Yarrowia lipolytica: one gene and its partners. The protein of the gene in region 3 purifies or fractionates together with the protein of the main gene of each other region. This does not show direct contact. Links are inferred from orthologs where the notes say so. Each region holds a gene or a part of one and is shown on either strand. Other genes may lie near its edges. The genes, in order: YALI1_E00533g, YALI1_F25254g, YALI1_A04022g and YALI1_B20589g.

Evidence for each region.
Region 1: the proteins of YALI1_A04022g (region 3) and YALI1_E00533g purify together in Saccharomyces cerevisiae (affinity purification with mass spectrometry; 5 studies listed by BioGRID, with this or other methods). This does not show direct contact. The link is inferred for Yarrowia lipolytica from reciprocal best matches to the Saccharomyces cerevisiae genes GCD11 and GCD2.
Region 2: the proteins of YALI1_A04022g (region 3) and YALI1_F25254g purify together in Saccharomyces cerevisiae (affinity purification with mass spectrometry; 6 studies listed by BioGRID, with this or other methods). This does not show direct contact. The link is inferred for Yarrowia lipolytica from reciprocal best matches to the Saccharomyces cerevisiae genes GCD11 and RPG1.
Region 4: the proteins of YALI1_A04022g (region 3) and YALI1_B20589g purify together in Saccharomyces cerevisiae (affinity purification with mass spectrometry; 8 studies listed by BioGRID, with this or other methods). This does not show direct contact. The link is inferred for Yarrowia lipolytica from reciprocal best matches to the Saccharomyces cerevisiae genes GCD11 and GCD6.

Annotation. Positions count from the first base shown.
Region 1 is NC_090774.1:49,305-56,697, reverse strand, and holds YALI1_E00533g (uncharacterized protein), read right to left. Parts: upstream 3,388-7,393; coding exon 2,092-3,387; downstream 1-2,091. Other genes in the region: YALI1_E00551g (mitochondrial 37S ribosomal protein bS6m), read left to right, coding at 834-1,129, 1,505-1,526; YALI1_E00527g (uncharacterized protein), read left to right, coding at 3,640-3,679, 3,965-4,149; YALI1_E00510g (uncharacterized protein), read left to right, coding at 5,501-5,526, 5,658-7,393. UniProt on the Saccharomyces cerevisiae protein: Acts as a component of the translation initiation factor 2B (eIF2B) complex, which catalyzes the exchange of GDP for GTP on the eukaryotic initiation factor 2 (eIF2) complex gamma subunit.
Region 2 is NC_090775.1:2,522,009-2,531,277, reverse strand, and holds YALI1_F25254g (uncharacterized protein), read right to left. Parts: upstream 5,814-9,269; coding exon 2,946-5,813; downstream 1-2,945. Other genes in the region: YALI1_F25309g (uncharacterized protein), read right to left, coding at 1-293; YALI1_F25289g (uncharacterized protein), read left to right, coding at 2,234-2,261, 2,305-2,615.
Region 3 is NC_090770.1:398,387-406,093, reverse strand, and holds YALI1_A04022g (uncharacterized protein), read right to left. Parts: upstream 3,881-7,707; coding exon 2,279-3,880; downstream 1-2,278. Other genes in the region: YALI1_A04071g (uncharacterized protein), read left to right, coding at 1-817; YALI1_A04044g (uncharacterized protein), read right to left, coding at 1,243-1,424, 1,568-1,655; YALI1_A04006g (uncharacterized protein), read right to left, coding at 4,797-5,429. UniProt on the Saccharomyces cerevisiae protein: As a subunit of eukaryotic initiation factor 2 eIF2, involved in the early steps of protein synthesis.
Region 4 is NC_090771.1:2,055,547-2,063,626, reverse strand, and holds YALI1_B20589g (uncharacterized protein), read right to left. Parts: upstream 4,642-8,080; coding exon 2,596-4,641; downstream 1-2,595. Other genes in the region: YALI1_B20634g (uncharacterized protein), read right to left, coding at 1-212; YALI1_B20577g (uncharacterized protein), read left to right, coding at 5,830-8,080. UniProt on the Saccharomyces cerevisiae protein: Acts as a catalytic component of the translation initiation factor 2B (eIF2B) complex, which catalyzes the exchange of GDP for GTP on eukaryotic initiation factor 2 (eIF2) and is regulated by phosphorylated eIF2.

The DNA of each region.
Region 1 (7,393 bases), on a different chromosome or scaffold from region 3:
TAGACTTTTTCTTTCTTTCTCCAGCGCCGTTCCTAATACTTGTACTATTACAGTATCTCGAGATATCACCGTTTTCCAGGCACTTAGGTAAGTGTCTTAGTTGGCTGATTACTTGGGTAAAATTTGAAAGCCAGGACATCATCAATATCATTTAACTAATGTCTGTTAGCTGCACAAAAATGGAAACAATCCCAGAAGCACTCATAGCTCTTGCAAGATACCATTTATCAATAGACCCCATCAAATAATCATCATTAACCAGGACTGTGGTCTCGAGAAATGTGACAGGCCATCAATGCTCTTCCTACTGTAGGTTAAAACAGGTTAAAACAGGTTAAAACAGGTTAAAACGCCATCTGCCCGTAATACTGTAGTCAGTGATATTACATACAGCGACTCTCTCAGAGCAAGCTACAATACCTGCCGGTATGGTACTTGTCCGAGATGTTGCACCCACAGGTCATTTCCAGGTATGTACAGTACATACTTGATACTGGTACATGCTCCGAACGCAAAAAATGCACGTGACTTTTACCTGAGCAGTAATTAGAGATGAATGTTAGCAGCATCTGGCTTACATGAACGCAGTCATATATTTTATCCACTTTGAGAGCAACCAGACCCCTCAGGTAAATTTCCTTTATTGTTCATATATCCGACCTACCTATTTCGGCTCGATATTAAAGTGCTCTTAATTACTCACGTATTGTACTGACAGACCGACCATGTTCAGAGTGCCAAAATAAGGTTGCAGCATCCAGTAACATTTTCAACCTTCATCTCTCACACGACGTCATCGCATCCCAACTACCCCTCTACACAACAGACTCGAAATGCTCTACGAACTCGTTGGAATCGCATCGGTGACTCCGGCACACGCGGCCGCCAAGCAGGCCGTCACCCAGATCGGCCGAATGATCATCGGCAACAGAGGCGTGGTCCGCCTCATTGAGTGCTGGCGATTCAAGCCCCTGCCCCAGATCATGAAGGCCCAGCAGAAGAGCTACGTGGTCGGCGACTACTTCTACATGAAGTTCGACTGTTCTCCCGGAGCCCAGGGCGAAATCATGCGAGCTGTCCAGGCTGACCCCCGTTTGATTCGAACCTTTTGCGTCAAGCTGAATGAGAAGTGAGTATGATATGGTTGCTCTTGAACAGAGTAACGAAGCTGGAGAGCTAACTGGGACAGGCGAGAGCTATTTTGTGAGCAGAAGTGCCCGTTTGGACAAAAAATGAAGTCTTTGCTCATTCTATCCTTTTCTATTTAAGATGCTCTTTTGACAATCATTCTCTAATCTTGAGTGGCGTCTTGAATAAGCAACCCAAGTCTAGACACGGACATGTTGGATTCTAGTCTTCGCCAAGCCGTCGGAATTCCTCCTCTGTTACCTGAAATAGCACCTCGAGCTATTAGAAGCGACCAGACATTTATATACGACTTGAGGCAGTTCCTCGTTGCATTCAAACAACTATATTTCTACACATCTTCAACATACTAACACAGATCCAGCAAAACCCTCATCTAGCATCTCTATTTAATGTACATATTCGACACAGTGTAAGTGATTTTCTTGCCTAAGGCGTGCCTGTAGGTGGACAGTATGTTCAAACTTCAGAACAAGGGCATTAGTTAAGGAGTAAAGACGACTCTTGCCCGTCTTGTGTGTGATACAACTGTTCTTATCTCGTGTATCCGAGACACTGTTTTAGCTAATACATGGTCTCGAACACGGGTGTGTGTGCATACTCATAAGACTACATACCGGCACTGGTACGAGGGAGTAACACTGTCAGTAACTACAACTGTTCAGATATGAAGTCAAATAAATCTCTCACGGCTGCAATATCGTAGATATATACTGGTGCCGTACATACCTGTACACGGATTACAAGTCGTTAATCGTCTAAAGGTCTATGCGAGTGTCGTCATGACACGACGACTCATTGGCAAAAACTGCATATGCTACCTTTAGTATGTACTGTACATACATCAATATCACACGAACCCCATTAACGTACTGTTTATTGTCTATATTTTAGTCCCCCCTTGTCGTTCCTCTATCTTACAAATACCTCTCTTAACCTCCTCCCCTACATAGTGTAAGCGGACTTGTATTCTCGCATGATGACGGGAACGGCCGAGGGAGGCAGATGACCCAGCTCGGTGATAATCTTGGTGAGATTTGCGGCAGGAGTCAGATCGTAGCACAGATTGAGGTACTTGAGCGAGGTCTTGGCCTTGTCTTCAGGAAGCTTCTTCTTGTCACTGATGTAGGTGTTTGCCAGCATTTCGGGGAAGGCCAGCTCGTTGAGAGTGACAGAATCGAGCTGGACTCGGTCAGAGAACTTCATGGACTCGCATAGGACGATCACGGGGATGTTCTTTCGCTTGGCAGCAGTGGCGATGAGGGCAGAGCCGACACGCGAAAGCAGAGCGCCGTTAGAAAGCATGGCATGGGCTCCCAGAAAGACTCGAGAAACGTCGTCCAGAACATGAGCCAGTGCCGAAACCAGAATGTAGATGCACTCAATGCCCCGGGCAGACAGATCTCGAGCCAGCTTTCGGCCCTCATGCAGAGGTCGGGAGTCGACCACAATGATCTTGAACCGCTTACCGGCCTGGTGAGCAGCAATGAAGGTGTTCTCCACCACCTCGGAATGTGCAAAAGTGAGGACGGTGTCACCGTCGGCAATGTCGTTGACGGCGCTCTCCACGATGACGGATCCACTCACATCGATCTTCTCCTTGATGTACTCGTCAATCTTCTCCACCAGCATGTCTTTGGCAGCCTGATCGGACATGTCAATGCTCACCACAGAAATTTCCTGCTTGAGCCACCGAATGGCATTACCCATGGACACAGACAACGGTCGTGCAGAAATGACAAAATCAATCTGGTGACCAAGATGTGTAGTGAGGTTTCGAGACAGTGTAGTTCCCTCGGGAGTCTCGTAGTCAGCAATAACCCGCTGGAAGGCCTGCAGAAGAGTTCGGGCTCGGTCAGAAGAGCCCACAATCTGATACGACGAGTACCGGAGTGCCAAGGTGATCACCTCGGGATGCACGTCCTTGCCAGCATCCGCTGCAGTCACCTTTCCTGCCTTCTCAAGGTGCCCAAACAAAGCGGGTCTGGAAGCCCGGGTTCGATCCTCCTTGGACGATGCAGAGGCGGACGATTGATTGCTTCCGCCTTGTGTGTTATTGCTGTTGTTTCCGGTGTTTGAAGATGAGCCTCCCTCCTTGGCTGCGGCCTGTTGCTGTTCCTTCTTGGCCTCTCGTGGATCTCGAGTAGGAGCCTGGCCCGATGCCTCCTTGGAAGCCGCACGCTTGGCGGCCTTGGCGGCCTTCTTCTGTGCCTTAAGCTGAGCGGGTGTAAGTTCTGACATGGCGTGAGAGCTGTGGTGGTTTGATGATATCTCCAGTTATAGTCATCAGACTAGATTTTTTTGCATATATTAGGGTTCCAGATTTCATTCGGGGGTTTAAATATGTTGCAACCACAACTCGAACTGACAACTACCAAGATCATTTTAAAGTTACCCGGCTTTCCCAACGAATCACAGCACCGCAAATTGCAACCTCCAAAATCATATTGCATCACCAAAGTCATCTCTGGAGCACACACCAATACCGCAAAAATGGCTCTGTTTACTTCGCTAGTCGGTGCATCCGGTCTTGGTGAGTATCGCAATGCGCGACGAGATTGTCCACCGACAATTTCCGCTGCTTCGACGACATGTTTTTGTGTCTTAACCATCGACTTGCAAGTGACACAAAGGGTTCTAGACATGTTTGACCAATCTTGACTGGAATTGGAGTGGTTGTTGGCACGGATCAACTGCATTGCTTATGATGAATCAAGCGGTGATCTCAGATCGTCTTCAATTCGGTTCTGATATGGACTGCACACCAGATACCAATCATGCTATCAGATATCTTCGCACACATCACATACTAACTCAGGATTCGCTACCAAGTTCCTTTCCAACAAGATCCGACTCAAGCCTGCCGGCTACTACCCTCTCGGATACGTTTTCTCCGGTGTGGCCTGGGCTGGCCTCGGACTCGTGCTTCACAACGTTCATCAGCACTCCTTGGAGGTTCTGGAGAAGAAGAAGACTGCTCTCAGCGAACAGCGAACGGAGTAGACACGGTTTTAGATAACAACGATAATTTATGCATGAATTGACATTTCATATTTGTCTGTAGTGGGCCATGCTTAATAAGCACCTCATTCTTTCGATTAATAAGCACTAATTAACAGTCCCAAGGTGACCCCTAACCTTTGTGTCCTCTTTCGTTTATTTGGCACGTGACCTAAAAAGGCTAATGCTAGAGACTGTCGCGTTGTGTAGAAGGTGTCACCCCGGCAACAGTTTAGCTTTTCACATGCCAGCCCTTGGTGACAGGCTAAAATAATAACAGTACGGTCTCAGATGATTGTTCATGCCGTCTCAGAACGGCTCTGTGTTTTTCTCTGTTTTCGGCGATCGACCAGAGGCACCATGTCACATGTTGAGCCCCTGAGCCCCCTGTTTTTAGCTTAAGCCATACGCATTTTAACGGTGCGTACTGCAGCTCAAGAATGCGTGTTTTTCGGGAGTCTCAGGGGTCCCGTCAGGTGCTGTGAACGCGGTAGGAGGGAGTGTTATCGATTAAACAAGTAGTATGCTGTCAACTTGTCGGCCCTATTGTTCTAGTCTTTTGGGCCCATTAATTTCCCTCAATTTCGCCCGTTTCAGCGCGGCCTTTATTTACTCATTTCTCACTTCAATTTCGCTTCGTTTACCGGTCACAGGTGTTTCAACCCCTTCTTTCGGAATGTGTGCAGGGGCGCATTATTTTGGACACGTAGTACCGGTACGAGTACATACGGGGGAGGTGAATCACGGGGGCCCACGAGGACAAGTACTGGAAATAATAATAATGACACGTGCCAGCGAGAAACAATTACACGGACATAGTTGAGTTGTATTGTATGTTTGCACAGAGTAGTGACTGATTTTTTTTTTTTATTGTCAATAGTCGGCTATTTACTGGAGATATTTCTTTGAAGATTGCCACAACGGACCTACCGCGTCGCTCCATGAAACAAACACCTATCAGAATTGGGGAGTTAGAATGAACATGCTAGATTTGGCGCCATTAGCTCCCGCTTAGGTGCCACCTGGACAGCTGCTGCTGCTGCTGCTGCTGCTGTCTTGTGTTTCGCTGAGCACGGTTACTTGCAGGTTAGCACTAGCACACAGAGTTTGACTTTCCTTCCAACACATCAAACAGGAGAAGGGTGTTTAGTATCGGGTGTTATCTATCTTGAGTAACATTTTGCAACTACGCTACCGACCACACTTGGTTCAAATTCCTTTGCGCTTCTTCCTACGACACAAGCCCACACGTGTTTTCCCCCGTCCACACGTCGTGCAATAGGCTTATTAATTCAACACACAAACACCACACCACCACACCACCACACCACTATCCACACGGATCGACGCGCTCATGGCCATCAGTTACGAGCCCGGAATGTGAGTATGACGAGAAGGGGAGGATGAACCGGCAATACCACGCCGAAAAAGCTGGTTTCGCGTTTTTTCGGCGTTTCATACGACTGTCAAAATCTCGTGATAAACCCCTAATTACACAACTGCTAACACAGCCGCTGCTGGATCCGAGACGAAAAAGAAGGATGGGTGGGTGCCGAGGTGGTCGACCAGAAGACGGATGGTGAGAAGGTGACCATCAACCTGACACTGGAGAACGGCGAGGAAAAGTCGGTAGAGACCTCCGTATCTGTGCTCAAGTCGTCAGCCGAGGTCCCTCAGCTCCCCCTGCGAAACCCCCCCATTCTGGAGTCCACCGAAGACTTGACTTCCCTGTCCTATCTCAATGAGCCCAGTGTGCTGCACGCGATCCGAACCCGATACCAGATGCTCAACATTTACACCTACTCGGGAATCGTGCTTATTGCCACCAACCCTTTTCAGCGGGTCGACAACCTCTACACCCCCGACATTATCCAGGCCTACGCCGGCAAGACCCGTGGTGAGCTTGAGCCCCATCTGTTCGCCATTGCCGAGGACGCCTACCGATGCATGCTGCGAGACAAGAAGGACCAGACCATTGTGGTGTCAGGAGAGTCCGGAGCAGGAAAGACCGTGTCTGCAAAGTACATTATGCGGTACTTTGCCACAGTGGAGGATCCGCTAGCACCACGAAAACGCGACGTGTCACAAGGTGACTCACTGTCCCACGTCGAGGAGCAGATTCTCGCCACCAACCCCATCATGGAGGCCTTTGGTAACGCCAAGACCACCCGAAACGACAACTCGTCGCGGTTCGGCAAATATCTGGAGATCAACTTCAACAAGGACGTGGACATTGTGGGTGCTCGAATCCGAACCTTCTTGCTGGAGCGATCTCGTCTCGTGTTCCAGCCTGCCACAGAGCGAAACTACCACATCTTTTACCAGCTGGTCAAGGGTGCCTCTCCCGAGCTTGCCAAGGCTCTAGGTGTCGAGGGAGGTGTTCCGGCCTTTCGATACCTCAACCAAGGAGGTAATGATACCATTGAAGGCGTGGACGACAGCGAGGAATTCAAGCTGACCGGTGCGTCTCTCGAGACTATTGGCATCGCCAAACCCGAGCAAGAGAGCCTGTGGAACATTCTGGCTGGTATTCTGCACATTGGTAACATTGAAATTGGCCAGACCCGTCAGGACGCGGTTCTGTCATCCGACGAGCCCTCTCTTATCAAGGCTTGTGAGCTGCTGCAGATTGACCCTGTCCAGTTTGCCAAATGGATCACCAAGAAACAGATTGTGACGCGAGCCGACAAGATCGTGTCCAACCAGACTCACAAGCAGTCGTTGGTGGTGCGTGACTCCGTGTCCAAGCACATTTACACGTCACTGTTCGACTGGCTGGTCAGCGAGCTCAATGGCGGCCTGTGCGACCCCAAAGTGCAGGAACAGGTCGAGACCTTCATTGGTGTACTGGATATTTTTGGTTTCGAGCACTTCAAGAAGAACTCGTTTGAACAGTTCTGCATCAACTACGCCAACGAAAAGCTGCAACAGGAATTCAACCAGCACGTGTTCAAGCTCGAGCAGGACGAGTACGTGCAGGAGGAAATCAACTGGACCTTCATTGACTTTTCCGACAACCAGCCTTGTATCGACCTGATCGAGGCAAAGCTGGGTATCCTCTCTCTGCTTGACGAGGAGTCGCGTCTCCCCGCCGGTAGCGACGATGGCTGGTGCACCAAGCTGTACCAGCAGCTAGATAATCCGCAGAACAAGCATTTCAAGAAGCCGCGGTTCGGCAACACGTCGTTTGTGGTTGCCCACTACGCCCAGGACGTCAACTATGAGGCCGAAGGCTTTGTGGAGAAGA
Region 2 (9,269 bases), on a different chromosome or scaffold from region 3:
ATTTCCTCAACCTTTCGAGCCATGTAATGGACATCTTCAGGGTAGGATCCATCGAGCTCGGAGGGAGGGATGAGCAGTTGCTGAGCAACCCACTCAACGGTGGTCATGGATACCTCTGCGATACTGGCATCGTAGTCGGTTTGGTCCTTCTTCTCATCAGTGGTCTGAGGAGGCTCGGTTGTGTAAACAACTTCGTCGGAGATATTTTCCATGCTCCCAGAAGCAACATCGTTCTGGACGTGATGTTCTGCTGCCGACTCGTAGTAGTCGATAGGGGGTTCGTCGTAACCCATAGTGTGTGAGTGAGAGAGAGAAGTATTAGAGAGAGCTCTACTAAACCAGCCCAAGAGAACCCCATTACCATATATATCTGTCCATTATCGCGGAGTCTCTCGCGTGAGTCCATCAAACTCTACTTCCGATGGTGCCGTGCCTGGTGGGATGTCTGATAGACTTCAAAAAAGCGAGCGCGTCTGTCTTGTCAATGAGTCAGATTGCAGTGCCATGCCACTTGGCTGACGTTTTGCGAAGCGCCAAGAGATTGTAATTGAGGATTGCGAACGCGAATCTGGTCTTGTGCCGTTTGTTGAAGTGGTCCCCATGTAAATAAACATGCTGATATCTTGTCGCCATCTCGTAGGGCTGTATCATTCTCTATCCCCATACCTCGAGGGTAAGCCAATCAGTGTAACGCAACTCTGATACCAAACCATCGTTTTTGATAGAGTTCATGCTCCACCACCAAACAATGAAAATGATTCCAGACACAAGAAAAATGTCCTGCACAGTGCTGGCCGAAGCGGATTAACGCGGACCCTGCCAAGCCATTTGTCAGATGAACCACAGCAGCCGTTGGGCTAAGGAATCGAGGTCAAAAAGAATGAATGTCGCCCAATCCGGGTCTTGCACAACTACCCACCCTCCTCTCCACACGACTGATAAGGTCATACATTTTTTACGTATCACAAGCGCAGACAAGGTGTATATTTCTCTCTCAGCCATGCACTCCACCTACGCCAGGGCTGCAAGCTCAGACTTCGAGCCAGTTAAACTATCGCCTAAAGTGAAGCCAGCCTTGTCGAAACCGCGGAGCTATGAACCTACGGGCGTTTCGATGCGTACTGAACGGCACCGGGCCCATGCATTACAAGCTTTACTCACAAAGAGCTTTCCCCCCATCGGCATCGGGGCGCTTATCCCGACACATGAGACAGCATCATGTGTAAACTCACGTGAGGTGCCGTTCGTCGCAAACAGCAGCCCAGGGATTAGTTTTTCACCATAGCCCAAAAGACACTCGATATTAGCCTCTGCGGCCTTGTTAGCCGCTTCACGGTAGGCTTTAGACAGACACGGAATCCCGCCTGTGGGGTAGAAGGTCATTATCATTGTCATCAAGCTGACTGGCACGGCACGATCTACACCACTCTACACCTCTCTTCTCCCCGAGTAGAAGCCGTCTTCTGCACACAGGGGCTGCAATGACTGCACCCATCCTTCGAGGACTTTTGAGCTTAGCCGTTGTTAAAGGCTGTTTGACTAGCCCGTTTTTGGCTGCGGTGAATACAACTGTACGTGAATACGTGAACTCCGCCGAAAAAGCCCTCTGCATTACACTACAAGTAGCACTTTGCGCCATGAGAGATGACGCAGAGGCTAGTCCGAAAACCAGACGGACATATCACACCCAGTCTGTTTACTATTACCTCCCCTCCTTAGAATGTAGCGCCACCCACTGTAATTCTACCATGTCCAAAGTTTTCGTTTCCGGGGACATGAAGAACGTTCCGCTCCCGACTAGTTCCCGTCTGAGGAGCTATAATAGCGGATGAAAAAACTCAACTAGTGTATTATAGCGTATGATGACCCGGATTATGAATACTAACAGACGGAGCACTAGTGAGCCGGGGCGGAAAAACTAGACAGTGTCACATCCATTATTGATCCAAAGACGACTTGTTCGTCGGCGAGCACACAAGATTTGAAATAAGGAGACATTCCAAACTTTTTACGTATTAGAAACAGAAAAAGTTTTGCAAATCAAGTAGAGGGTTGCAGGGACCACGGCTTCGAGGCTCCAACATCTACGTCACCTTTGAGATTCGCTCTCATTCCTTATCAAACTTTTGGCCTTGGTGTAAACTAAATCCCAAAACGGTCACATTACGAGAGGAAAAAGATAGGGAACGTACCAGTACAAGTAGGCGAGCAATTGTGATCGTTTTGGTTGTGGATGAGTTCTGTTTCAGCACCATACTCCAGTTTTTACGTCGCACTGCGAGTCAATTTCGTTTTCAGCCAAAGTAGTGGCTCGGTTGGACGGCTCGGGTGGGCAGTTTCAGCCGCTTTCTACAAGCGCCTTTCACCAGGTTACCTCTCGTCAAGTCAAGCAGGCGGCTGAACTTTGCGTGCCGTGGTTTAAACCCTCGTGCAATCAACTGCAAGATAAGAAAACGGAGCCACTTGGCGCTGCAGACAATGTCCGTGAAAGTCCATTCTCAACGCCCAAAAGCAAGCCTCTGAAGGTTGCTGTCCCCGAGAGTGGCGTTTTTATAACACAGTGCCATAATCATATCCAACTACAAGTACTCTCTACTTGTACTGTAGTAATATAGGACATGTCACCTCTCGATCGTTCCATTTGATTCAGATAAGATAGCCCACTCTGTCGAGCTTGCTTTCGTATTCAACATGCCTCGCCCCTCTCATGTGTACCAAGCATCTCAATGAAAGTTTACTTGTATGGTTGTTTAACCCACCTTCTGATTGCATTTGCAATCTATCTGGAGCACAGCTCCCACTCTACTCTACTACAGTAGTACAGTATGTACCGTTACAAGTATGTGTACTCATACAGTACTTTCACAAACGCCACTTGTTCTACTTGTTCTACTTGTTCGTATCTCAACAAATCAGTTGTTAATCTATACCAATCACCTTTAATTTTAGTTTCGCTGGGAAGGAGGAATATATCGGCCTCCAGATCCAGCGCCAGATCCACCCTCACGTCGAGAAGGAGGAACGTAGCCTCCTCCGCCACCTTCTCGTCGGCTGGGGGGAACATATCCGCCTCCGCCACCTTCTCGTCGGCTAGGAGGAGTGTAACCTCCAGAGCCAGCTCCAGGAGCGGCTCCAGCATCTCCTCGTCGGCTGGGGGGGACGTATCCACCCTCTCGTCGCGAAGGAGGAACGTAGCCACCGCTGGGAGGGGCCTGTCGACCAGCTCCGGAGAAGCCGGCTCGCTTGGCTTCCAGCTTGGCCTCCAACTCGGCCTCCTTCTGTCGCTGCTTCTCGTAGGCGGCGTCGGCTCGTGCGTTGGCCTCCTCTCGGGCCTTCTTCTCTGCCAGCAGCTTCTCTCGCATCTCCTGCTCGGCCTTGGCCTTGGCTTCCGCCTCAGCAGCAGCCTTGGCCTCTGCCTCAGCGGCAGCCTTGGCCTCTTCCTCAGCTCGTTTGGCGTCAGCGATTCGCTTGGCCTTGACCTCCTCGATTCGAGCAGCCTTAGCCTCGGCGAGATTCTTGACGGCCTCCTCTCGAAGACGAGTAAACTCAGCCTCTCGCTTGACACGGATATCGTCTCGGAAAGACTTGTAGAAGGGAACGGCTCGCTGCAGACGCTTGGCCAGCTCGACCTTGGCGTCGTGCTCGGCCTTGGCGGTGTCCTTGATGAGCTTGATTCGAGTATCGTAGATCTCTCGGTCTCGCTGCTTCTGCTTGACAAAGTCGTCCTCCACCAGCTTGATCTCCTCCATTCGGTAGGCTCGCTCAGTGTGGTCGATTCGCCGAGCAGTGACTCGGAGTCGGTCTCCAAGTTCCTTGGTCTCCTTGGCCAGCTGGTCCACCTGCATCTTTCGCAGAGCGTTGGTGTCCAGACCCTCGAGCTTGTCGAGATCGATAGTGATGATACCCTTCGCGTTGATCTCCTCGGCCAGCTTCTTCTTCTCCTCCTCTCGGATGGCGTCCTGCTCCTTTCGGATCCGCTCGAGCTCTCGGGCGTGCTGCTCGGCAGCCAGACGCTCCTTCTCGGCGAGCTCCTCGTCCAGAAGTCGCTGAGCTCGCTTTCGAGCCTCCTCTTCCTCTCGCTGAGCTCGCTCGGCTTCAGCCTGGGCCTTTCGGGCCTCAATTTCAGCTCGTCGAGCCAGAGTCTCGGCGTGCTCTCGCTCAGCATTGTCCTGAGCAGTAGTGAGAGCAGCCACGTACTGCTGCTCTCGAGCCTCGGCGGAGTTGAGAGGGTCAGCAACAGAGAGAGTTCGACCAAGCCGAGAGAGCTGGGTTCGAACAATTTCAATGGGAGTGTCCTGCAGAGAAGCAGAGCCTGTGGCGGCTCGGACCTCCTCGAACAGCACGGATCGCTGGTCGTGGTCAATCTTAATGGCCAGCTCGCCCTGAGCACAGGCTCGGACAATGAACTGCTCAATCTCCAGAGGGGTAGCAGAGAAAGGGGCAGGGAAAGTAGCCAACTGGATGACAAAGTCAAGCTTGACGGACTCGTAGACCTGCGACAGCTGCTGGAAGAGCCGGGTGAGAATGACCTGGTAAAGAGGGGCAAAGTAGGGCTTGAACTCGGGGGCCTCAGCGATAGCGCCAACCACGGGGGTCAGCTTGGCTCGAATAGACAGAGGGTGAAAGTCGACCTCCAGAGTCTTGTACAGAGCCTTGATCTCAGGCTTGACGTGAGCCAGAATGTTTCGGGACAGCGCAGACTTGAGAAGAGCGTCTCGAGTGGGGGTTCGCTGCAGGTTGAGCAGACCAGTGAGCCGGGTGTTTCGGTATCGATCCTCGGCGCTGGAGTTGTGGGGGATGGCGAGGGCAGACAGAAGCACAAAAGAGGCGACTCGCTGGTACTCGGACACGGGGATGGCACCTCGGGGAGACTGGGACAGCAGGTGGAAGAGCTTGTTCCAGGCCGCAGCGTGGAAGAGGTAGTTTCCGGCGACCAGGAAGATTCGGGCCAGGTTCTCGTAGTAGTTACCCATCATCAGGGGCTTGGCGGGTCGCTTGGAAACTGTCAGCAGGGTGTGCACATCCTCGACGGATCGGAAGGCCTCCTGCCACAACTCCAGCTTGACGGCCACGTTGAGCTGTGAGAACCGGGTGTCAAGGTACCGCTGCAGAGTGTCAGCATCAGACAGATCGACAGAAGTTGCGGTCACGGGGGGAGCGTTGGGGCCTTTCTGGGCAGTGGTCTGCAGATGGGATCGCAGAAGCTCACAGAGTCGTCGGAACTCGGTCTTTCTAGAAAACTTCAGACAGAAGTTGAAGGCCTGCTCGACCACCTGCTGGTAGATGACCTCCAGCTTGCTGTTGTTTCGCAGAACGTCCAGCACGCTTCGGTAGGCCTCCCACAGGAATTTGAGCCAGGGGGTTACGACCCGTCGGTCAGTTCGGTCCTTGGTGTCCTCGGAGGACACCGTGGCCAGAAGCAGGTCTTCAGGCGTCTCCTCGGCCTCCAGATCGTCAGCCTCCTCCTCGTCGGCAATCTTGTCAGCCTGGGCCTGAGCATCAGTAACTCGCTGCTCGGCCAGAGACAGAAACTGCTTGATAACAGGCTCAATGGCGTTCACGTTGGTGGACTGCACGATCTTCTTGTACTGGTGAAGACCATCCTTAATGATTTTGCCCTTGCGCAGGTCAACGGAAAGTTGCACAAATCGAGCCACGATGGGCTCCAGAGTAGCCACAGAAGTGGTTCGGGCCTTTCGGGCAGACACAGTCTCGTGGAGAAGCTCCAGAGCAGCATCCTGCTGGCCCACGGCAATAAGCTCGTCGGTTCGCTTCAAGACCGTCTCGGGACGGACGTTCTGATGGGGAGCCATATTGGTGGTGTGGTTGCTTGGTAGGTGTAACTAGAAATTTTTCAGCAGACGTGTGAGACTTGCAGGTAGGGTAACTTTGAGGGTTAGGCAAAAAGAAGGGATTGTGGTTGTGACGAGGGGCAGAAGTAGAGGGCTGCGACAGGGCGTGGTGCTTGTATTCAGTTTTTGGAAGTAGAATTCTATAAAGCTGTCCCATTTCTCCTCGCATTATCACGTCATCATCAGATCCACTACCTACCATTAGCTCCTAATTTTTTTACAGTGGTGTTTAGTTAGTTAGAGTTTTGTAGTTGGGAGACGAGGAAAGAAGATGTGTGTGCTGTATGTATATATATGCAATTTAACTAAGGTCACATGACCAGACAGAGCCTCGTATCGTACAGTAGGTGTGGAGGAGAGCATGACTTGGAAAGTGTCTAATACGACGGTGATGATATATCTTGGTAAGAGTACTGGACTTGAATGAAGTTGTGCACTTACAGATATCTCATGATCTTTCTCAGGTTTGAATGTACTGTAGGTGCACGTATGTACAGTAGTTTGTATGGAGTGGAACTAACATGCCTCCTGACTGTTGTGTATCTCTGGTCTCTTTGGTCTTCAGATTTCCCCGGTAATCCCGGTGATATGCTCCCTGTTACCTTGAACCGCGGCTTCTCTGATATACCTTCGGGCCTGTGTTAGAGCATTAGTTGTGTAGAGCGAGGTCAGAGACTCTGTGGAGCTGTCGGCTCCGTTGTAGGAGTTGTAGAACTGCTGTATAAGCACACCGGGTTCCAAATGTCATCTATATCTACCAATAAAAGAACTGTATCGTACCATCGCGGTATCTGTAGGTTCGATGGACCAGTCCTCGAGTACATCGTACATACTGTAGTTCACGGAGAGTATATGGGACCCAAAATGGACGAAAGGAACCTGCAACCGCTTTTTCGAGTGCATTGATATATCAGTAATGTAGCTATTTTCAGGCTTTCGACCTAACTGGTACTGTACTACGAGTACTCTTGTGCCATGATGCTCAAAAGTCTGAAGTGTCTCTTCATCTTCCCTGGCGTTTTGTAGCAACACTGATTGCTGGGCCTTACTCTCTCAATGCTGTGTAACTGTACAATGTTACTGACGAAGAGATCATGTTTGATGGATACCTCGCGCTGTTCTCAAATAGCTCCAAAAGTCGAGCGTATAAAGTGTCCTCTCTTGGCCATCTCTTGGTAAGAGAAATGATACTGTTCGCACTCATGTAAGGACGGTGGCGGTTTAACGAGATACCAAATCCACTACAGCTTGTGTGCATACAACGAAGGAGGAAACCCTTGTCCCTTACTACGCTCCCTTTCATTGTATAATGAGCTGGATATGTTGGAGGGACACGCTGAAGAGTAAATGGGAGCCTTTCAAGCTCCTAAACTTTTGATTCTTGAAGTGTCAATAAAAGTACCTGTACTTCAGATTTGATGAATAAAGACGTCCATCTCTCCGACACTCCATCTCCGTGTATGCTCTGGTGACATATGGTTCTTGTGCTACAAGTATTGTAGTGGAAGGTACACTCATGCATCTGAGGGGAAGTGGCATGATGTGTGTATGACCACGAGCAAATACATGCAAGTGGCTCGGGGCTGTACTGTAGATTGTGCTGTTTTGAGAGTCATTCTGCGCTCTACGATATTCGAACTAACAGCCGTAGTTCGCTGGCTATATCACAGCTTGAGCTACTACTGCACGAGTACGAGTACGAGTGCAAGTAGTTGACCGAGAAGGTGTATGGGAAGGAAGCTAAGGTATATTCTGCACATATTCTGTTGCATTAGCTACTGTATGTACTGACACTCGTGGTCTCATACAGAAGGATGGTCTATTCAAGTACCGGAACGATTCTGTATCTGTTGTTCATTCCCCCATACACCATGCACAACCAATGTGACTGGCATTCTACACATAACTCGTCAGTCATATGCCGGCAATCGATTCTGAACCCCATATTAAACCGAAATAGCTGTTGACAAAGAAGTGGCCAGTATGCAAGGATGGATGCTCCCACATGGGGATGAGCAGTCTGCTTGATTTGTCAGGTTGTGACAGCTTTACCATGAGTCATGTACAAGTACAGTGTACTGGTAGATACAACGCTGGAACATGGGACATTTTTTAGCCAAATATTTACTCAATGTTTACCCGATGGTTGCTTGAATACGTCTCCTGACCTCCTTCAGCTCCTAAATTTACCATTTCTCTCGCGTTACTCGGTCTAGCAGATGATCCACGTTGTCGATGCTCAGTTATGCCCGTCAGCTGTGCGGTTAAATGGACAATCTAGCGGAGCGGAGATAATGGAGTGGGGGCAGGAGTCTTGTTGCACCGTCTATAACGGTGGTAGTTCCGTCGGAAGTGTTGCAAAAGGGGCTAAAAAGTAGTACCAGTATATACACAGGCAGCTACATTCCGTCAGATGATAGCCACTACTAACTTGAGTCCGTGTTTGCTGTCGGAATTGGTCGGAATTCATCCCCATGGAACACGCTGCGCGCTCTGGATAATTCTCTCATCGGGACTCGGAGCTGTATTACACTCGGACCCTGTTTAATCTGAGTCTGAGTCGCAAGGGTTAACGGCCTCGGTAGAAGGTTGAGTTGAGCATGTCAGACGTGGACCAACTGAATACTAAATTATATTTGACGGGCCTGGGATTCCGAGGTCTGGTGGTTTGTTGCTCGACCACCTGGTTCTGTCTAAAAGTCGATATAGACTGTTCGCCACCTCCCCACATCCACCAGCCATTGCTTCGAGCGGTGCTTTAGCTGCTGTTGCACTTCTGTGACTAGTTGTAGTCCAGTTGTGATCACCCCACACATTTAGCGCCGCTGAGTTATTCACGTTCCACAGTTTGATTCAGTGGGAGCACTCAAACTCTGGCATGGTCCGAGTAAGAGGTGGTTGTTCTGGATGGCGTCCCTCAGAGCGAGCATCTTCTTCAAGAGACGGCACACATTGTAGATACCCTACAGCAGCTGTGACCCTGAAACATCGCCGTCTGTACGGTACGGTGCGTATATCGATACCAATGCAGCCGTAGCACGGCGTTTTACTGACAAGGCGCATCTATAACAGAGGATCCAGTTGTACCCAAACATCAGAATGGTGGTCGATACAGCGTCGTCACAATACAGTTAAAGATGATGATGTGTAAGACAGAACATGAAACCGAATAAAAGTACAGTATGTACTTGTACTTGTACGAGCACTATAGGACAATGAAGCAAGCGATCGGAGAGCGACGGGGCTGTCATGCCGTTGGAAACGGCTGAGGAAGATATGCTTGACAGCGGCCAAGTGTCTGGAACATTCGCCAGACGGCCCAAGGGACCAATCACGCTTCCTGAGAATGCACTTGTTTCTTTATTGTACGCATCCAGTTGAGTTTTCTTTTTTACCCACATGACAAGGTTCAATTGC
Region 3 (7,707 bases):
AGGCACCAACAACGTGTCCTGCATTTTGACTCTCCCCATTTTCCAACGAAAGGGATACGGACAGCTGCTGATTGACTTTTCGTACCTGCTGAGTCGAGTCGAAGGTCGCCCAGGCACGCCTGAAAAACCCCTCAGTGACCTGGGCTTGCTGAGCTACAGAAAGTACTGGCGGCTGATGATCTGCCGGTTCTTTTTCAATGCTCGCGAAAAGGCGGCCGACAAGAAAACCATCCCAAACTTCTCCGTCATGGACATCACCAAATCCACCGGCATGACACCTGACGACGTCATTTCTGCTCTTGAGTCACTCGAATTTCTGGTCAGAAACCCTGAGACAGGCAAGTATGCCATTCGCTTGAATTGGGAGGCCATCGATATGGTCGTCAACAAGTACAAGGCAAACAACTATGTGCAGTTGGAGCCATCAAAGCTGATTTGGGCTCCGGTGCCGGAGTGGCCGTTCACAAAGGTTCCTACTAGAGAGGACTTGGAGCCTGGAATGAGGATCGTCGAAGTGGATGACAAGGACGGTGATGGGGTCAAAGAGGAGGAGCAGAAACTCGAAGGGGACAAGAAGGATGATGACAGCGAGAGTGATGCTGGCGCTGACGATGTCGATTCCGAGGTTGAGTCCACAACAGACTACTCCAAGTTTGAGACAGCCTACCCCATTCCTCGAATGGTCACCACAGTGGAGAAAGCCGCTCCCCAAAGAACCACGAAATCAAGGTCCAGACGTCGAGACCGGCGATACCAGGGCGGCGTTAGACGTCCTCGAGGTCGGCCTAGAAAGTATCCTCTGGTTACAAAGGCCTGATACATGTATTTATTGATTAAATTATTATATATACAGGCAGATAGATTGTATGTGCACCATTATTAGATGGGATTCATGTCCGATGAATGTGAGGGATAATCAAAAGGTCTGATATTATAACTTGAACTAATCCTACTAATACGCTTGGTGCCGTAGTGACGGGGTGGTCAGCTTGAGAGCGGGCTGAGGGAACCAAACATCACCTCCGAAATTCTGAAGTTGACCATTCTAGACCCTCGCCACGTCGGTAGTTGAGCTCCTTGTCGGTCTCGGCTGACAGACCCTGGTAGTCGTAGTAGAGCATTTACTTGGGGCTAAAGGGAGGAAGAACTCGAAGACCGATTCCACCAACCCAATGGTACTAATTCGACCACCTCAACGGTACCAAGGACTTACCCTCAATCTCGTAGGGTAACATCTCCGTCTCAAGCCATAACTTGCTGAGAAGGCACGAAGTTTTGGACCAGAACCGGAATGGTCTTGACAAAGCGCTTGGCAAAAGACTGGAAATTGGAGCCGGTGACCTTGAGAACGGCAATATCTCGCTTGTTAGCAGCATCAAGGTCAACGTGATCTGATCTAACTCGGTGATTCTGATCTGGAGCTTCTTGGCTTTGACAATTCGCTCTCTGGTAAGTAGCCGGATGAAGGGGAGAGAGACGGCATTATCAACACCAACAACTTCCTTTTCAATAACAGGGTTGGCTTGGAAGAGTGGTAACAAGAGTATGGCTATAGTCCAGTAGCAACTTTCGGAGTCAAAGCTCGTTTTCAGCAACCAAGAAGCTGGGTTCGTCAACGGCGGGGAGCCGGCGAAGTAGAGTAAGAAGACCTTCATATTTGTTTGAGGGTTAGTGTTGATTGACAGGACTAAAAGGGAACTGTGAGAACCCTTCAATACTTTTTGATTGATTTACCAACAGCTAGAATGGATCAATTATGCGTCGCCATTTCTGTCTACCGATGCCCTCCCCTTTCAGAACACAACCAGAGGGAGGAGAAGCAATTAAAGGATTCAAGCTGAGCAAAATACTGATGTTTAATGAAAGCGCACTACAGTGTAATTTCAAGTCTGTCTGATCTTTTTGATACTAATATTTCTCGCTTACCAGATTTGCCCTGTGTCGGCGTGAATCAGTAGATACAGTGAGACCTCAGAGGCTGTCTACAGTAGAGGTCTTGTACTTAGTTTGCCTCAGATTGCAAGAGAACCAACGAAGACGGGCAAGTAGCTCTTCATATAATCAATACTTGGTGTTATCTATCGCGTTTCAGTACAGCAAGGTGTGCAGTATGTACAAGTATCAGTCCAGTACACTACAGTACATACCACTAGTGCTTCGGATACATCTACAGCTTCGGTCTTACTGTATCGCTACACAGCGTACGTTAAGCATAACAGTCGCTCATTCCTTACTCGGATCCTTGTATCGTCAATCTCCAATCGTTAATCTATACCTTTTAAAACTCGCTGGGGGGAATGGTGGAACCCTCCTTGATGGAACCCCATCCGATAAGTCGCCAGTGCTTCTCGACTCGTCGGGACAGAGCAATCTTTTCGCCGAGCTCAGTGCATGCGGGGGTGGTGAGCACCAGCTTGGCCATATCGGCCTTGACGTTCATGACACGGGCTCCAGTAGTGGTGGAACCAATGTTGACCATGAGAACCTCGCCTCGCGCCAGCTTTCCGACCTTGGTGAGCTTCTTGTCCTCGGTCTTGACACCCAGAAGTCGTCGCAGCAGGAAGTAGTTGATTTCCAGCTCGATGTAGATCTCGGGAAGAGCGTTTTTGTGTCCCAGAACGTGACCGACCAGTCGATCGGCTCGGCAGAGGGTGGGGTCGACCTGAGTTCCGACACCGATAAGGCCACCGGGCACGGCGAACTTGAGGTCATTGTTCTCGGCAAACAGGGTCTGGACTCGGGATCGGATGACCTTGCACTTGAACTGGCCGTTGTTTTGCTTCTCGACAATACCAGGTCGAATCTCAATCTCGTCTCCGAGTCGCAGGACACCGTTGAGAATGGATCCTCCAGCAACACCTCCCTTGAGCTCGTCGATCTCGGCTCCGGGCCGGTTAACGTCGAAAGATCGAATGACAATGAGACGGGGAGAGGCAGCAAAGTCTCGCACGGGAACGGGAACCCGGTTGACAATGAACTCGTTAACGGCATCAATGTTGTACTTGAGCTGAGCGGAAATGGGGACGATGGGAGCGTCTGCGGCGGCGGTTCCCTTGACGAACCGCGAGATGGATCGCTCGTGCTCCAAAGCAGCATCCTCTCGCATCAGGTCGACCTTGTTCTGCAGAATAATAACGTGTCGCAGCTTCATGATCTCGATGGCGGCCAGATGCTCAGAGGTCTGGGGCTGGGGACAGGGCTCGTTTCCGGCAACCAGCAGAAGGGCGGCGTCCATGACGGCAGCACCGGACAACATGGTGGACATAAGAATGTCGTGACCGGGACAGTCAACAAAAGACACGTGTCGCAACAGCTCCATTCGGCCGTCACAGCCGGGCTGCTCACACTTGGGGTGGATTTCTCGGTCCGATCGGAACGATCTGTAGTTGCCGGGTCGCTTGCAGTCCTTGTTTTCGCATCGGTAGATCTTGGCGTTGGCGTATCCCAGTCGGATGGTAATGTTTCGCTCCAGCTCGTTCTTGAATCGCACAGTCTGCACTCCAGAGATGGCCTTGACCACAGTGGACTTTCCGTGAGCAACATGACCAATAGTACCAATGTTGATGGTGGCCTGTCGGCCAATAATCTCGGGCGAAACACCGGTCATGTTGGTGAAATCGGGGTCGCTAGGCTGCTCGGGGAGCCCTCCTCCCTCCTCAAACTCCTTCTTTCGTCGCTCCTCATCTGTGAGGCCATCATCGGCAAACTTGACGGTCTTCTTGACCTCGGAAGTCTCCTCAACAATGTTGTCGTCCTCGTCCTCCTCCTCGTAATACTGGCTCTCGGCCACAATGTCGCCTCCAATCACCACATCAGGCGTAGCGTCTTCGAAATCAGTCATTTTGCGTGTGTCGTAGGGTAGCCTCGTAGTATGACGCATCACAAGAAGGCCATATTTTCACTATAGAGTTTGGAACATCTCAGTCTGTCACCGTACATTTCAGTACGTTAGTCAGCCTCCTTGCTTTTACCAGAAGCACAGGTACAGCAGGCTCCTCACATAAACTATTGTACTGGGGAGGTGGCAGGAAAAAAATATATGCCGGTGCGCCCTCTATATATATAACGCCACCCGAATTATTGTCGCAGAAATAGTCAAATTCTCATCGCGTGAGTCATGATGTTGGGAGACATGGATGGTTGGCGGAAGTAATTAGAGTACAAGTAATTAGATGAGATTATTGGGGTCAATAGTTGGGATTGATCGTGGAATAAAATCAGAAAAAGAATATATAGATAGGCTAGTATTGCAGATTTTGTCGACACATTTGTATTTCTGGTGTTATCTCTTGGATTATACACAGCATCAGAGAGTGGTCGCAAGTACATTGTACGATACAGACCATACTATCGTGGCTTTGAAGAGAAGTGGTGATAAAAAGTTCATCACTCAACTCGAAAGTTGATGCTGATTCCAAATGTATACAGATATATGGACTTTCTGATCGTAATGGTCTAGATATGAGGACTTTTCCATGTCGAGGTGACGTCGACATGGCTGCCTTGCGCTTACCACGTCTTGCAAAGTCCCCTTTTAGTGGGATTACATATGGATCAGTGGACTGATACTTGTACCAACCAGTCCACTGTCTACTACTGTCTACTATCGTCCTGCTTATAACCTGCCTGCATTGAATGATAAATATACATGAATCTGAATGATCTGATGTGGAATCTGATCTTTTGATGTTTTAAGGGAGCAGAAAAACTGCGATCTGAGGCGAAGTCATTGGTGGTGTGTGTCTGTTCTGAAGCCAGAAACGACAAAATGTGATTTGAAACGATCCGGTCGTCACTTAGAAAAGAACGGCAACAAGAGCAACGGCAACAACCACAGCGCCAGCGCTGTTGGTCATGGCTCCGTTGTGCTTATCGTCCTCCTTGGCGGGCTCGGGCTTAGCGATGGACACGGGGCCAGTGATGTTGGAGGAAGAGTGGGTGATGTTGACGGGGATCTGAGAGAAGGTGTTGGTGTTCTTGGCGATGGTTCGGGGCTTGACAGCGACTCGGAAACCCTTGGTACAGTTGGAGTTGAGAGTGATAACCCAGGTGTTGTTGGCAGTGGAGGGGCAGGCAACCAGCTGAGAGGTCTTGCCGTTGTCAACAACGTTGAGAGAGCCAGAGACCCACTTGAGCTGCCGGGTGGGAGCAGAGTCGGACAGCACCAGGCCGTTGTTGGCGGTAGCAGCGAGGAACTTGCCGTTTCGAGCAATGAAGTTGTCATCGTGGGTGTCGAAGGCAGAGGTGGTATCGTTGGGGGTCAGGGTGGTGACAGCCACGAGAGTAGAGTCCTGGACGGTCAGAAGAGACTGGGACCAGGGAGCCACATTGTCCTGAGACTGGGCGTAAAAGTGGATATCAGAGGTGGGCTCGTACACCTGGGCGAGAACGGCAGTGGCAGCCAGAGCAATGGTCTTGAGGAAGAGCATGATTAAAGAGGGTATAGGGTGAAGTAAAAAAAGGGGGTAAGAGAATGACTAGGGTGAAGAAGGCTTGGGGAGCCGAGGAGAAGGGTCCCCTCGGGTTTATATTGCCTGAAAACCCTCCATCGACACCGTTACCTGAGCCTTCTGTGGCCAAGTAGGTTACGGTTATGGTTGATTTGCATGCCTGATAGCGGTGGCCTGAAATCTACTGTCTCAGAAAGCGTGAAAAGACGACAAAGAGATTTTGTTGGGTGGATACAGTATTCCTATTGTACAGGTTCGGTACAGGAAGAAATGTGTGTTTTGATTGCGACTTTGTGTGTATGTAATGCGACTTTGTGAGTTGGCTGCTTCTCAGTACGTACATTCATCGACCATACTTGGGAGAATCATTTATTACTTGTTCAGTATGAATAATATCTAACTCGTAGCTCAGTTACTGGTTGGTCTCAGCAACGCTATTTCAAAGTCTATACTAAAGAGGAAATCCAAGTGAGGTTTGGGTGGTGGTTTTTTCATGACGCGGGTGTAGCTGATTCTCTTGTAGCTGATTCTCTTGCAGCTAGAAAACCGTTGATGGTGTTAGAAAGACCATTACACTAGAAGGAACCTGTCTTGCGACTAGTTGCGGGCACGATCTGTGCCTGACTGTGAAGTCCCAAGGTTGAGTGTGTGGGAAAAGATCGACATTGGTCCTGACGGTCTCTGTAAGCCCAACGTGAAAGCGTGCATCGAAAGCGAGAGTGGCAAACCGAATATACGGTGAAAGAACCCCCGGAAAACGGTTTTCAAAACGTATTTCCAACTTCTCAATGGATGCGTATGTCGCAGACAACAACCGCCGAGGTATTGATCTTCACGGTCCCTGAAAGCCGTCAGTTGTGTTACATCCAAGTACGATACCAACTCATACCCCAGTCGTACAGCGTAAACTATACAGCTCTTCCCTGTGGCCCTGGATAATGTGTGCTAACTTGAGAGACGCAAGCAACCGAGGTTGATTTAGTGGGTTGGTTCAGTGGAAGCGGTACAGAGGCGGTGGAACAGGACAGATTCTTGTCATTGATAGTGCGAATCCACACATTGAGAATCTATTCACCCCCTCATTTCCGCATCAACACTCAAGTACCAGTCAATTAACTGCCCATTGATATTTCTTTTCAACTGCAGGTTTATTATCCAGGTAAACTCACAGAGCAGAAGCCTGAAGAACGCATGTCTGGCACACTTCCATGTGCACACATCCTTGTATGCTTCCACCGATATAAGCACTCCTCTCAGTGCACATACCCCTACTTCCTGGGCGTCGGCTTGGCTGTAGGCTGCAGTTGGTTTTGCCCCTACTTTTATCATGTGGAATTTCACCGTGTTATTCAACGGGTGTTCGTACCGGACCGTATTCTGGCCCTGTCTCACTCGTGAACTCAGACTGCAAATGCGAACAAGGCGAACCTCTAGAATCGAAGACTCGTAGGCTCGGGGACGGGTCAATGGTGGTAGGTCAATAGGCCCATCTCGAAGCCGATCTTTTTCAAGACGAGAGTCTTCCGCTCTGCTCGTGCGATACTCGTTTTCCCTTCTTTTCCGGCTGGTTTGTGGCTATCCGTGCCATATATCCAATTCCTCGGCCGTTAGAGACCAGTGCCGCTCCCGTTTCTCGCAAGTTACAAGGTTTCGATCGCCAGGTGGATCGTGCGAGCGTTTTCCGTGTCACCGCTCGCTCACAAGGCGCGCACAAGGCAGTGGCTATGGCGGAGTCCGCAGACTGAGAGTTACACGAACCGGGGTCGAGAGAGCCGGAGTTGTCTTAGGTTGGCCGGCGGATTCGTGATTCCATCAGTAGGTGTGAATTTGGGAGAATTTTGACAGTATGAGTACAGTTCTGTACGGGTATTTTCGCACCTATACCCAACATTATCCCATCAAACATCAAGTATTGTTTTGTACGTACAGTGGACGGATTTAGAATGGTGAAAAACGTCGGTGAAAAGTTGGATCAAGGTTGGGGCCAATGAACTTTTTTTGTTATTTTTTTTTCAAGTCAAAGTCAAACCACCTCAGAACTTTGAATGGCCCAGTGGCTAATGGGAAGGTGTGGATATGAGGCACTTACTTGGGCGGTGGTCAGCAATGGGTAAAGGTAGCCAACTCTGGGGATTATGGATTCAGTTGTGTGGTCGTTTCCGTCGATTGTGGCTGTTTCCGTCGATTGTAGCCTTTCCGTTCTCCGGAGAGTTACTGGTGGCCGATGTTGACCACCACTTCCTTTGCCACACCGACA
Region 4 (8,080 bases), on a different chromosome or scaffold from region 3:
AACGGCGTCGGTGCACCTGCAGCCATTCCAGCCACCCCGTTGGCTGTCGCAGGCGAAATAGTCAGCTTGACAGGCGACTTCTGTTGACCATTGGTGCTGACGACCTTGGGTTTCAGAGGGGTGGCCTCCAAGTCGGGATTGAGAGGGCGAATAGGCGAAACATCCTCTTCCTCGCAAATGTCCACATCCAGAAACTTCTCGCGCAAAGTCATAAGCTTCTCATTGTTGTCAAAGATGAGGGCTGAGATGGGAGGCTCTGAGCTGACCTGAACCAGCTCCGAGGGTCGTAGAATTCCCGCAAGATCGCGTGGCAAAGAGTACTCCTGGCCAGCCCAGTCTTTGTTTGTTAGATTGTCTCTGAAGCTGTCCGATCTCGTTGCCTCTCCTCCATCTGTCGTTGGCTCCGTCTGCGCCTTCTCTTCCTCCACATCTCCCCTTAGTAGTTGCCACTCATACGAAACCCGAATAAGGTCTTCGAGCGTTCCTTCGGCAGACACAGTGACAAGCACGGGTTGACCGGTCGACAGTTTCACTGATCGGTAGAAGCTGTTGCTGTGGAAGAATTGCGGCACAATAGGCACCAAGGGTCCATATCCGTCAATAGATGGCAGTGGAGGTAATCGGCTGTGCTTGTTGTTGTCTCCCTGATCATTCCCTCCTCCATTTTCCCCGTTTCCTCCTCCGGAATCTCGTCCGCCACCTGGACTCTCATCTTCTCTGTCATGGTCACATCCCTGGTCGCTGGAGCAGCAGTCGTTGCCACCACTGCGATAACGCGAGGAGGTGAAGCCCAGATGCTGTCGGTAGTCAGTATTAAGCGAAACCGACGACGGGGTAGTGGAATATGACTCGGAAAAGCCATTCGAATTGAGCCTTTCGCGAGAGTAGTTTGGTGGGCCGTACCCCGTGTACTTCGCCTTATTGCGAGTGGTCGAGGGCCATACAAACACTGGGTTAGCCGTGGTTGCGTGGGGATTGCATCTCAAAAGGAATACTCACTTGTGTGTTTTGGTCCGACCGATACAAAATGTTGCGTCGTCAAATGTGTCGACCAGTCAGTTCAGTGTTTAGACAGGTCGCACTGGCATGCAGCACTTGGTTGTGGTTTGAGTTTCACCATTTTAGAGTTGAGCCTTGAAGCATGAAGTGACTGCTTGAAGTTGGAGGTGAGAGTGGCACCGTTTAGAGAGTTAGTGTCTGTGACGTCAGTCAATAATCGGAACCATTTTTGTCGGATGCAAATCATTCGGGGAAACTCGTATAGCCACTGGGCTACCTCGTGAACTCACCCAACAAACCAATCTCCCGTAATTTCCCTGCTATTATCTATATGGATGTATGGTGGTAGGTACTTTCTCGCTAATCTAAAGTCAGACGTCAAATGTATACGCCGCAAACAATAGAAGGATGCTAAACTGCCACTATTACCAAAATCACAGTAGTCGGCGCATGAAGGGGCATTTAGGTATCGTTTCAGCATCACTGTTGTCGTTTAAGCACCCAAAGCCATTCAGAAACCTCCTCTGGCCCACGCACACATCTCTTGCACGTCACGCTGCATAATTGCAGGGGAACCAGGGGAACAAGCTCCAGTCAGAACTTTGGGAGTAAACTCTATAAGTACGGCACTTGTTCAAGTATAAGTAAAGTAGAAAGGTTACTTAGCGAGGTCTTTCCGTGAGACTATGAACAATGTACAGCAGAGAGGTTTGCTACTGTTGATTAGATGAATGTGGGGGTACCTGCGCAACCACTTCCAGCTAGTTACATATATATCGCTCCACACTAACACACAGTAGCGGCGGATAACTGTGCCCTCGAAGGTTTAATTGCATTAAACGTCTTGTCCTGTGACGTGTTGGAGAGAGCCAGCATTTCAGATCCTACTGTACGATTATGAAAGTCACGTACAGTACTCGTATTTGTATAGAGAAATGTACTTATGTTAGTACTCATACCTGCAATCGCCTGCTCATTTGGGAGAGTGTCAACAGATCCTGTTATATTAGTCCTCAGCGACCCATGGTGGATGATCTCACACCGAAAAAAAATGTCTAAAAATAGACACATGTAGATGCACACATGTTCTGCTGGTCTCAGATAATCTCAACTTTTCATGCTATCCGAGGCTCGTGGATCTGGCGACTCTACCACATCTGAAACCGAAAATGTAGGGCGAGGATTGTGCATTTCGGAATGTCTCGCTGTATCCATGGGATGCGGAGACAGTGTGGATGCACCTGGAAGAACCCAATGACGCTTTCCCAAGCCCTGAGGGGTTGGACCTCAAACGGCCAAATACACTTCTACTGGTATCATAACTACTTGTAATGGAACCCTGTTTCGTGTTAGCCCGACGCTCAGATCTACCCATTACGAGATTTAAAATAACGGCTTCAAATCATTAGTAAGTAGGTGCGTTTTCATACAGTGTCATACAAGGGACATGCACATTCCCGCTCACATTCATCACATGTCTCATAATGGATCTGAGACACTTGTCAGACACTCCTTCATCGCTAAAGTAGTGTCGGTACTTGGATTTCGGGTACCATATCTAACCGTCTATTCATATATACACATGCGCTGTAAGATCTAATCGGACTCATCCTCCTCCTCAGACTCGGACTCGGCCTCCTCCAACCACGTAACCCACTTACCAAGCAGAGTTCGCACACTGGCAATCTCAGGAGACACATCCTCGGGCTGCTGGTGCCACCATCGCACAATGACATGCTCGTCGAGAACATCAGCGTCATACAGACTCTGCACTGCAGCAAATAGAATGTAGTTGCCAACAGGACGACGAGAACAGTCTTTGAGCAAAATGTTGAGCAAATCGATCTGGTCGGCAGGTTCAAACACCTGCTTCTCAAACAGCTCGGCCCACTTGCCCCACACCTTCTGGGTGGGCACCTTGTGGTCGTCGGTGACACCCATATTGAGAACTCGAGTGATGTAGCCGTTAATGGCCTTGACAGATGCAGCTCGAACCTCCTCATAGGGCACGTTGGAAGACATTCGAAGAGTACCAAGTTCCAGAGCAGCGATATCAATCTCGTGGTTGTCCTGGAAAGCTCGGTCAAGAGAAGCGATAGCCTCCTTCTGGAACTCGTCCTCGTGGTTATCTGAAACGTTAGAAACTGTGGAAGAGAGTCGCCGTCGCGTCTTCTTTTTGGGAGCCACCGCTCGGATGTTTTCGTCATCCTCGTAGCAGTGGTCGTTGATGGAGGTGTCAGAAAGGTTCAACTCCTTGAGATTGTAAACCAGAGAGCCGACGTTAGCGTTGAACTCGTCGTCCGTGTCGAAATCGCTGTCATCGTCGTCAATAGCGTCGAATGGAATACTCTCGCCAGCGTCCAGAACGAGATACGTGCCCTCGATTTTCTGTCCTTCCTCCACAGTGACGCCATGACCAATAATAGAGCCAGGTCCAACGCTGCAGCCCTTCTTCAGAATGGCTCCATCCGCAACAAGACCACCGTTGACAGTAACATCGTCCTCAATGATAACATTGCTCCAAATGAAGGAGTCCACCAAGTTCACATTAGTGGAAATCTTACAGTCACGTCCAATAACAGTATCCTTAACCATCGATCGCTCTCCCACGCTGGTTCCTCTTCCCACCAATGATCTCGATCCGATGACACACGACTGAGCCAACACAACACCCTTCTCCTTATAAATGTGGCCCATTTGGTAGCTGAATGTCTGGTCATCCATGAGGTTAGAGTCAGGAACGACAGGGTAAGAGTACCGTGACACGATATCCTTTGTGACAGCAGAGTAGGTCTGCAGTGATCTCACTCGAGCAGCGTAAGCATCGGTGACAATGTGGGCGTAGATCTTCTTACCGAGAATCTCTGAGGTCAGGATGTTCTTGACAAAGTCGGATCGCAGGGTAGAGTAGTCGAAGTTCTCGGTGAACTGGGCCAGCACGTCGATGGAACACAGATCAATGTGGCAATCAATGAGATCATTTCGAATAGACAGAGTGGCATCGTCATTGAGCAGCTCTCCGTCCAGATCAATGGACCCAGTGGGGTTGTTGAGAGAAAGCTCCTCGTATCGCAGACACTCAGAGGTCTTGTCATTTAGCACAAACAGACCTGGTTCAATTCGGGAACGGGTTCGGTGGAAGGCATCGGCCTGTCGCAGAACCATGGTCATCATTGCGTTCTTGTCATCCTGCTTTCGCTGGAGATGCTGCTCCAGAACAGGAGTGAAATCGATGTTGGAGACTACGTCACCAGAGACAAGCAGAAAGTCGGAGGTGATGGAGCCGGTTCCATCGAGATCTCGCATGGCATCTCCAACAGACATACTTTCGGTCAGCTTCTTGGTGTGGATCTCAAATGGCGAATGCGAGTCAGACCACTTGGATGTCTTGATGTACTCCTCAATCTTGTCAGCATGCGAACAGCACATGAGGAAAACCTCACAGACACCCGCCTTGGCCAGGAACTCAAAGGTGTATTCCAACAGAGGAGTGTTGGCTAGAGGAAGCAGGCATCGAGGATAGTCCTTGGTGAGGGGTTGGAAACGAGCCTGATAGGAATCTGCGAGAATAACTGCCTGTAGACGGAAGTCCTTGTCGATGGCCGACTTTTGGGGTTTGGCGTTCTTCTTCTTGGGGGGCATTGACGGTTAGTTGTATTACCTGGATAGTGGTTCCAGTCTTTCGGTTTGAAAAACGCATCGGAGCATGGGGGTTTGGGTTTTAGTCTCAATTTTTGCGAATAAAGTTTTGGCAGGATACCGTAGAAGTAGAAGGACAGAGTCATATGGGTTTTATTCAATGAGTAGCGAATATAATTCGACCATTCTACTTTTGTTGTGGTCAAAATGCTAGTGTAACTAACTGAGACAAATTTTTTTGTATGTTTTGGTCCCTATGGACCTGCCTTCCTGCTTATGGTTGTTTTTTTTGGAGTTCACTGCCTGTAATTGCTCTGACCGGGATGTACATACTTCATATGGAGTAGTTACCAGATCAAGTGCTTTACCATTATCTTCCAACTTCTTTTATTTATATACTAGATTCATGTCCTTTGCCTCGACTCTACTCTCCTGATCACCTCTAAGTGCTTAGATAATGTACTGTACTAATTACCAGTACGAGTCGCTCACTCTCTGGATGGACAGTTCGGAACCCCAGGCATTTTGTGATCAATCTGACACCAATCAGGTATACTTGTTAGCCACTGTCTGACTCTCTGACGTGTAGAGCATGTGCCCAATTTTTTTTGTTGTTCATTCGGTGTCACGAAAGGCGCAGTACGGATACCACTGTGAAGGGGAGCAAGGACCGCCCTCCCAACCCCCTATTCTACCCACACCCAATCATTGTGTGGGAGTCATACTTGTATAGCTTTCCGGAGCCGGTCACGCTTGCACACCATTGATCAAATCGACATGCAATTTATTATTAGCAGATATGTCTCTTGACTTTATGCCTTGTCAGGCTGAAACAGAGGAATGGTCCAAACATGCATTGTAGGCGTGTATTTACTGTAGTTTCAAAGTATGAGTGTAAGCATGGCGAATCTACTACTGATTAGAAGAAAGAACCATGAAGGCTGCACCCATTGCTATGAGCCGCTGACGAGATGGAAAGTAGTCGGATTAATAGACGCGTCACGTGACAGCAGTTCTATATTGGTTGATATCTATTTATTCATATCTCACGTGACAAGCCTCCTTGGGTTAGGTTTACCCTCCCTGTTGGTATGCATCGCTACAGTACAGTAGCATTAAGGCAAGGTATGGGTCTACTGTAGCGACGATACACAGCACAGCACTTTGACCATCACACGCAACACGCCCACCATGTCATTCCAAGATTCGTTTTGGACAAAGGACTACATTGGCGGTGTACAAACCGTCTACGACAAGCTCCAGCAGGGCATCCAGGAGAACCAGGAGGTACTTAACTTAGTGTCGTCTCGAATCACGATTGAGGAGGGATATGGACAACGCCTTCAGAGCGTTCGAAGCTCACACTACGCCTCAAAGGTGGGGTTTGGACGTGACGAGGGAGCCACTCTGAAGCAGGCATACGAAGGAATGATTCTGGACATGTCCGAGGAGGGATATGCTCATTATCGGGTGGCTTCAGCTCTTGATAAGAACGTGCGGTCTCCATTTGCGCAATGGTCTGAAGAACACAAGCTGCGTGTAACCACAGCCTGGGATACGTACCATGTTCGTCAACGGTCCTATGAGAAGCAGCTGGCCACGACCAAATCTTTGCAGAGATCCTTCTTCAGCAAGTGTGCTGCGATGGAAGACCTGACCCAAGAGAGCAATGTCGCGTTCCCTACTCTACCACAATCACCCAAGACTGACGGTAGTGAGTCAATTCCAGGTTCTACAGCCGCTTCCACTCCTCCCTCTAGCTCTGCTTCTGCTGCCGAATTTGATGGTGGCTCTAAGGAGACTCAATTGGGAGGTGAGACATATTCGGAGGCTGCTCTCAAGATGATCTTTACCGACATGCTCAAAGAGATCCCTCTCAAGTCTCTCAAGGTGCCCATCCTGGGAACCTATAAGCGGATTTCGACTGGCGACCAGATTGTCATGTGGCTGAGAAAGAACATGGACATGCCCAGCATCGCAGCTGCGGAGAAGTTTGGACAGGACCTGCTTGCACAGGGATACATTCGACTAGTTGGACAAGTTGGAAACAGATTCGGAAACGCTTCTTCTCTTAACTATCAATGGCAGGACTCCGTCATGGCTATTATTGAGGGTAAAACCGACGCTTCCCATGAGCCCAAGGCAGAACAGACTACTTCGCACTTGCAGCCCGAGTCTCACACTGCATCCACTACATCCACTCTTTCGGGATACATCAAGAAGTTCCGAAACCAGCCACAGACGGACCCTATTCAAGCCCGAGCAGAAATGCTGCAGTTCGAGCAGCGATACAAGGAGGAGGTTGAGCAACTGGAACGACTGCGATTTGAGCTGGAGGAAAATATTCTAGAGGTTTTGTCTTTCTTTGAGAAATGCGAACTCGGGCGACTGGCTGCCTTGAAGAGAGTTATGCAGGATTTCGGAGAAGCCATTTCAAAGGGAATGGAAGGTACTCAGACTACAGCCGCGAGAGTTGCTGTTTACCACGAATCTATCCAGCCAATCAAGGATATTAGATATACCGTGGAGAGGTACAAGACGGGTCACTTCAGTCCCAACCCTACAGCCTACCGAGGATATGAAGAGAAAGTAAGTGATGAATTCTTTGGAGTCGAGCTGGAACGACAGGCCCTCGCTGAATTTGAAGAAGGTAACGCCAAGCAGGTACCCATGTTCGCTCAAGTGCTGTTGACGCAACTGGACAGCTCCTACTCTGTCGATGATGATCTATCAAAGGTTTGGAGATCAGACGCTGTTTCTCTCAAGGAAACCCACCAGCTGAAGCGGCTTGTTGACACTGTAACCAAGTTGGATGCGCGTCGCCTAACCAGTCTCAAGGCCAGTGAGATCATTGCTCTTCTCAAACTCTATCTCCTGGAGCTCCCTGACTCCGTGGTTTCCTGCAACATATATGACCTTATTCGATCTGCGTATTCTTCGAATCCTTCTGAGGGGGACAGTCTTACAGCTCGACTTCAAAAGATCGAGTCCACACTTTCTCAGCTCCCCCAGGTTCATGTGGATACTCTTGAGGCAATCATCAAGCACCTGAAGCGATTCATTGTCATGTCCAAGATCTCCGACGAAGACGTCGATTACATTTTTACGGACTTGGCCCGTGTTATTATTCGACCCTGGACTCAGAGTGCCACTACAATGAACAGTAAACACGGCGTCAAATTCCTCAGAGATCTGGTTGAGAACGGCGACAAGGTATTTAGCAGCCTTGATACCAAGTTTTTGGCCCAGAGAAATAAGAAGAACCGCCAGCGAAACGTCTCTTCTTCTGAACAGAACAGAAAAGCACTTGCTGAAGCCCGTCAACAAGCCATTGAATCCGCTACCAAGTCTCGAAACTCTTCTCCTCGAAGACAACTCGATGATACCTCTTCGCCCGGTATTCCTCTTTCCGTAGCTCTTTCTCCTGCCAGAAAGCGATCCG